Linked DNA regions of Xenopus tropicalis. The protein of the gene in region 1 purifies or fractionates together with the protein of each later gene. This does not show direct contact. Links are inferred from orthologs where the notes say so. Each region holds a gene or a part of one and is shown in the gene's direction. Other genes may lie near its edges.

Region 1 (3,277 bases):
GTGAAAATTCCTGTTCCGCCACCAAAACAAGGTCCTATGCCAGAAAAAGAACACACAAAAATACCTACGCTACCTCTAGATAAGACTTCTGTACAACCATCCATAGGAAAGCCCCATCCAGATAACACAGACAGTGTTGCACCAATCATTCGCCCACCATCACCACCACCCAAAATCCTTAAAGAGAACATTTATGCAAGAGAAAAACTTTTGTCCAATGGTGGAAACACAAACCCTGAAGTAAATTTGCCTGTTAGTGGGAGCAGAGAAAACTTGGTAGATATCAATAATCCTCCCCAACCTCCTCCAAAGATCTTATCTGACAAAATGAAGATTAAATGGGAAGGATCCACATCAGATCTAATGGACAAAGATTCAATAAAGCCAGTTGACAGAGGGAGCAAAGAGAACCTGGTGGAATTTGATTCTAATGAACTTGAAAAGACTTCTGTTGAGTCAGCTGAGTTGTCAGATGAAGCAAAAGAACCAGAGCTGAACGATGACATGAACAGCCAACAGTCTAATGATCAGGACATCTTTGATCAGCTAGATGAGAAAACCACTGAAGAAGTGGAAGAGGGTTCCGATAATTCTGAAACTAAAGAAATGCCTGACCCTAGTGAAGTGCAGAAGAAGGAAACAGCTAAAGAAGAGGCTTTTGAAGACTCAGGTTGCATCCAAAGTATGGAAGAACAGTCCTCACAAGTACAGAGCACACTAACCCAAATTAATCCTGCATTAGCAAAGTCAACCATTCCTGAGAGAATACCCAGATCATCCTCCCTGGGAGACTTCCTTTCAGAAGACAGTATGGGTTCTGAAAGCAGGAGTGGGCATAAAACGCCAATGTTACATCTTACTAAGGACCATCTGCAACAAGTTGAAATGAAGCTTGCCCGTGGAAGGGAGAAAACAGAGACACTTTTAAATCGGGTCTTGCAGGGCGATCTTATAAATAGTCCTGAAGGCAATGGGCCAGAGGCAGAGACGCTTCTAAATGAGGCTGTGAAGCAACTCAAAGAGGCATCAGAAGTATTACAAGAGTTACAAGAATCCAGTAATGTATCAATAGATGTGGCTGGGGCAGTAACCTTGAAAAAGAGAGACCTAGTGACTTTGTACAGGAGAAGTGTCCCTTAGCCTCCACTCAAGTGTCCTCACAATACTGAGAATAAACCTCAGAAGCGGAGCCATGGTTGGACTGGGGGATGCAGGGCCCACCGGAGCTGCCATACTAGGGGCCCCCCCACTGCCCACCCAACCCTCTCTGAACACGCATACAATATAGTTACCTTTGGACGTGTTGGGGGAGGGAGATCAGAGGCCCGAGGGAGTGGAACTCTGAGATAAGCACCACCCTTCTAAAACTGCTTTGGCACTTTATCTTGTACACCTTCTCTCTTTTGTGTCAGTGTTTCCTGGGGAACAGAATGGACATTGTAGATTATTGTACACAAGCCATGATGCAAGCTTAGCTAACAAGTGATTCTAAATGCATTATACTGTATATGATTATAAATAGACATATTCATAGGTTCATCGTACACTCCAAATTACACAAAGCAAAACAGATATAATATTTAAATATATTAAATGTATATTAAAAAGTGGTTATTTTTTACAAAGCATAGATTAAATGTTACATATCAAAAGGGGTTGTTCACCTTTAAGTTAACATTTTGTATGTTATAAACTGGCCAATTCTAATCAACTTCTCATTCGGTATTATTTTTTTCTTTTATAGTTTTTGAATAATTTGCCTTTTTCTTTCGACTCCTTATAGCTTTTAAATGGGGGGTACCGACCCCAGCATCCTAACAATTATTGCTCCATGAGGGTACATTTTAATTGTTATTGTTAAATTGTATTACTTAACATGCTATTTGGGCCCTCTCCTATTCATCTTAGGGTCTCTCATTAAAATCACTGCCTGGTTGCTAGGGTAATTTGCAACCAGATAGCTGCAAAAATTCCAAACTGGAGAGCTGCTGAACAAAGAGCTACATAATTTAAAAACCACAAATAATACATACCAGTTGCAAACTGTCTCACAATATCACACTCTACTTAATACTAAAAGTTAAATTATAGGTGAACAAGACTTTTTAAAATGGATCTGCTATTGTCCCCTGCCTTTCCCTTACAAAAAGATCATGTGAAATACACCTGTAAGGTATAATGACCTTTGAATGAACGCATTATACAAAAGTTACATATTTCCCTATTTGAGATATCACTCACTTGTCATGAGAAATAAAATAATTTCTATGCTCTAATGACACATCTCTTAAATCCCTGCTAGTCAATTACTCATTATACAGAGTTTGAACCCCTGTATTATTAATATGTTTTTTATATGTAACACTGGTTTATATTCCTTTTTTTCTACAGAATTAGTTGACATTTCCATGGTAATGCTGATTCTGTGAATATGAAGGAACAAGTAGCAAGATGTTCCTCAATATGATTTTATTGCATGGTTCTTCTAGTCACTGGGCAGTGGTTGAGCATCACCAAGGATGTAAACAAAGCATTTCTCTGCAAGCTGAAACATATTACTTTTTCTCACAGTGGGTGATATCACACAGAGAATCAGGTAACAAGGTAACAACTGGAGAAGAAATAGGTCTTTTTGGCTAATGTTGTATAGTGACGTCCACTAAACCCTAAAAATGAATATGGCTAAAACACCATATTTTATATACTGCACCTAAAGTTTCAGCATCTCAATAACCACAATGATCCAAGACTTCAAACTTGTCACAGGATGATTATAAATTATGATGCTAGTTGCACTGGTTTCTAAACTGTGATGTAGTATTTATCTGAATTAATTACTAATAAGCCTTTTAGTGTAACATTTATATTCTATATACAGTATACAGTATATTGTGAGTGGGTCCCTAAGGCCTACTGGGGCATCTTCAGAGATACAGATCTTCCCTGCTAAAGGGCTGTGGTTGCCTTGGGCTGGTAAAGAAGTCCAAAATGTTATGTACAACATTTCTGCCCTACTTCTTTAGTTTGGCTTTAGTTCGTCTTTAATGACTATACTTAGTGATGTAGCACAGACTACTGGTGACATCATGGGCCAAGTACACTTGCAATATTGTCATTACACCGTGCTGTGATGTCATCAGATTCTAAATAAAATCATGCCAAAGGCCAGGGTTGAGTTCCTGGTGCATTATAAATTGCCAGTTCAGATGATCTGGTTTCTGAGGTTCCTGCTTGCTCTTGCCTGTTCTTCAGGATAAAGGTGGTCATACATGGTGCG
Region 2 (4,281 bases), on another chromosome or scaffold:
TACAGAGAGATACCATAAAACTATGGCACATAGGGATTCCCCTGTACTAAGCACAATTCAGCAGGAACAGCCCCCTAAGTTTGCTCATAGCCTGTACAGAGAGATACCATAAAACTATGGCACATAGGGATTCCCCTGTACTAAGCACAATTCAGCAGGAACAGCCCCCTAAGTTTGCCCATAGCCTGTACAGAGAGATACCATAAAACTATGGCACATAGGGATTCCCCTGTACTAAGCACAATTCAGCAGGAACAGCCCCCTAAGTTTGCCCATAGCCTGTACAGAGAGATACCATAAAACTATGGCACATAGGGATTCCCCTGTACTAAGCACAATTCAGCAGGAACAGCCCCCTAAGTTTGCCCATAGCCTGTACAGAGAGATACCATAAAACTATGGCACATAGGGATTCCCCTGTACTAAGCACAATTCAGCAGGAACAGCCCCCTAAGTTTGCTCATAGCCTGTACAGAGAGATACCATAAAACTATGGCACATAGGGATTCCCCTGTACTAAGCACAATTCAGCAGGAACTTGGGGACAGGGTCCCTTTGAGCAGTAATTGCTCGGCCGTTCCCCCCAGACTCAGTGCATGTAGCAGTCTTCTTACTTTCCCTTTACCTACAGCCGTTTCTCATCACCCAGAAGACTCTCTCTCTGCTTCCCATGACCTTTGGGAGCCGCTAGAGACAGTGGGATAAAATAAGCCGGTGTTTCCTGCGCAAATGCCCCGGGGCTCCCGCTGGGAGAGAGTCACCTGCGCTTCTGCTGGACCGGCCCCCTGTGCGCCAGATGCCCCCGCTGCTTTGTGTTTGGCCCAATATGTCAGCAGGGACCCCACTTCCTCGCCTCCTAATAACACCTTCCAGTCTCTCCGCTGATTGGCTGCATGGCTCCCTGTATTACTCAGCCCAGGCTGAGCATAGAATGCATCGATTGTAAGCTCTTGTGCAGAACTGGGCAGCCTTTTGCCCCGAACTTAGGGTATATGGATAAACATAGGGTTTTGGATAAACTTTTCCCATGGTTCAAATGGCTGAGCAGCCTGTAGCTCTGAAGCCCTCATCGCTTACTATAGGTCGCCCCCTGCTGGCCACGTAAGTGCTAGCACCCTATAGGGGATATGGAAACTCGCTATAAATGTCAATAATTGTAATTATCACGGCAGTGGGTCCAGCTTCAGTAGCCGTCTGGGCCTGAGTTCTGCATTCTGGCAACTTCTGGGTTTATAAACCTGTATTCTCTCCTTTTATTACTTGCCCTTTGTGCTCTAATTAGAATTAATGCGCCGTTTCCCCTTTCTTTTTCAGACTGAACAACAGCTGGACTGTGCCTTGGATCTGATGAGGCGTCTCCCTCCCCAACAAATTGAGAAGAACCTCAGCGACCTCATTGATTTGGTAAGGAAACCCCCTACGTCCGGGCTCACCCGCGGCCAATAGGTGCGGCCGTGCCCCGCGGCGCTGGGATATTGCCGTTGGTTGCACCAGGGGACTCCAGGAGCGACACATTTCCTCTGGTGCAACCAACTGCCCCCGTGATGCAGCAGGAAGAAACGTTGGGCTGAAGAGCTGACTAATAACATAGCAAGGACTGAATGTGGCCCTTGGGCACCTCATGCTGAGATTCTAGTTGAAGGCGGAAGGGCCCCGGCAGGGCAATTAGAGGAGGCAGAGGGGTCAGCGTTCCATACGTAGTTATATCTCCTGATCTCAGCCCCCCGGCCCTCATTAGTGCGTACCCTTTGCCTCGGCCATTGTCCTCTTCCTGGGACCAGCAGGCTATTAATTAGAGCACATTAGCGGCCCCGTCACTCACATGATTTCCCATCCACGCTAACGACTGAGGCCGCTGTGGGGCCCCCATCAGTGATTTGTGTGCTCTCCTCGCTACAGTTCTACAGTAGTGTCATGGCTGCCAGCACCAGATACAGACATGTTTCCATTGCTGGAGGGGATCTCACCATCAGCATAGGAAGGGGTTCCTTACTGTAAGGGCAGTCAGGTTATGGGATTCCCTACCAAGAGAGGGGGAATGAGTGATTCATTGGGGTTGGGGAGGAAAGGGGATCTCACCATCAGCATAGGAAGGGGTTCCTTACTGTAAGGGCAGTCAGGTTATGGGATTCCCTACCAAGAGAGGGGGAATGAGTGATTCATTGGGGTTGGGGAGGAAAGGGGATCTCACCATCAGCATAGGAAGGGGTTCCTTACTGTAAGGGCAGTCAGGCTATGGGATTCCCTACCAAGAGAGGGGGAATGAGTGATTCATTGGGGGTGGGGAGGAAAGGGGATCTCACCATCAGCATAGGAAGGGGTTCCTTACTGTAAGGGCAGTCAGGTTATGGGATTCCCTACCAAGAGAGGGGGAATGAGTGATTCATTGGGGTTGGGGAGGAAAGGGGATCTCACCATCAGCATAGGAAGGGGTTCCTTACTGTAAGGGCAGTCAGGTTATGGGATTCCCTACCAAGAGAGGGGGAATGAGTGATTCATTGGGGGTGGGGAGGAAAGGGGATCTCACCATGAGCATAGGAAGGGGTTCCTTACTGTAAGGGCAGTCAGGTTATGGGATTCCCTAACAAGAGAGGGGGAATGAGTGATTCATTGGGGGTGGGGGGAAAGGGGATCTCACCATCAGCATAGGAAGGGGTTCCTTACTGTAAGGGCAGTCAGGGTATGGGGGCTGCCAGTACTATGGGGGTATATTATATACAGAGCCCCAGGGTGGAGGAGAGGTGCCCCCCAGTTCCCAGGATGATGAAGGTTCTGCAGTATCCGGGGGGGTAGGATGGGGGGGACTGTATAAAGGTAGCTGTTACCCCCTCTTTTCCCACCTGGCAGCCGTGACCCCTCGGTTGCCCCCGTGTGTAGGAGCCGGCCACCCCGGCAGGTATCCAGTTTCTGGGCAGACAAAGGCTGATATTCTTGTGTGAGGGGTTTGTGAGTTTAATTAAGTCTGTGTAGGGCCGGAGCCAAGTGCATTATGGGGGGGGGGGGCAGCGCGGGGGTCCCAGGTACAACAAGGGCGGCCCTGTTCCCAAATCTCTATCAGAATCTCATTAACTTCTTTCAATTTGTCTTCTCTTTGTGTTCTGCCTCCTCAGATGTCTCCCCGAGCCCCTTTGCTTTCAGTGCCGTTACCCCCCCCCCCGCGCGCGCAGCGTGCGTCCCATAGCCCACCTGTATTCACCCACACCCCTCTCCCTGTGGTACAAGTGGTATCACCTGTGTGGGCCCTGGCTGCCTGCACCAATATGGCCGCCGTGCTGCTTCCCAGGAAGGTGGAGCTCAGAGGCAGTTAGAGACCTTTTTAAAGGGCAGTGGTGCCAATTGTGTGCCATTTGCCTACATTAAATACTAGCCAGGCCCGATTCTCACTTGCTATGTTCCTTACCTGGGGTTCTGGTTCCGCCCGTAGGTACCCAGTCTGTGCGAAGATCTCCTGTCTTCTGTCGATCAGCCCCTGAAGATCGCTCGCGACAAAGTCGTGGGAAAGGACTACTTGCTGTGCGACTACAACAGAGATGGAGACTCCTACAGGTCAGTACTCGGACCCATAAGGAGAGCAGGGATGTATGGGCCCGCACCCCTGGTTCTGCTCATTATGAAACAAACCCATCAGTTTGGGCTTCTCTGGGTTTCCCTGTGGTCTCACCAGTCTCTCATTAAAAGGGATGAAATCTAAAATAAATGGAAATACTCTCACTCAGAGGCATCTCTGGGCACTTTGTATGGTGTCTGAGACTGTTGCAGTTTTAGACTGCTAATACCAGACTTGTGGCCCAGGAGTTGTCTCTGAATGAGAGTCAGTGACCCAACAACATCCGCACAGTCATGTAACCCCCGAGTCACTGGCAGTTACACATAACTATAAACCCAGTGAGAATGAGGGATGAATGGATATTGGGGAGTTGTATCAGGAGTCAGAACCAGCAGTGCAGGGAAGGGAAAGGGACAGACACAGTGACAGTTACACATAACTATAAACCCAGTGAGAATGAGGGATGAATGGATATTGGGGAGTTGTATCAGGAGTCAGAACCAGCGGTGCAGAGAAGGGAAAGGGACAGACACAGTGACAGTTACACATAACTATAAACCCAGTGAGAATGAGGGATGAATGGATATTGGGCAGTTGTATCAGGAGTCAGAACCAGCAGTGCAGGGAAGGGAAAGGGACAGACACAGTGACAGTTACACATAACTATAAACCCAGTGAGAATGAGGGATGAATGGATATTGGGCAGTTGTATCAGGAGTCAGAACCAGCAGTGC

Evidence for each region. Proteins that work in one complex are often made in the same cells at the same time.
Region 2: the proteins of plekho2 (region 1) and capzb purify together in Homo sapiens (affinity purification with mass spectrometry; 3 studies listed by BioGRID and IntAct, counting the BioPlex papers as one, with this or other methods). This does not show direct contact. The link is inferred for Xenopus tropicalis from reciprocal best matches to the Homo sapiens genes PLEKHO2 and CAPZB.

What each region holds. Positions count from the first base shown.
Region 1 is NC_030679.2:116,154,883-116,158,159, forward strand, and holds the end of plekho2 (pleckstrin homology domain-containing family O member 2), read left to right. Parts: coding exon 1-1,140; 3' UTR 1,141-2,276; downstream 2,277-3,277.
Region 2 is NC_030683.2:129,989,465-129,993,745, forward strand, and holds part of capzb (F-actin-capping protein subunit beta), read left to right. Parts: intron 1-1,314; coding exon 1,315-1,404; intron 1,405-3,424; coding exon 3,425-3,546; intron 3,547-4,281. UniProt on the Homo sapiens protein: F-actin-capping proteins bind in a Ca(2+)-independent manner to the fast growing ends of actin filaments (barbed end) thereby blocking the exchange of subunits at these ends.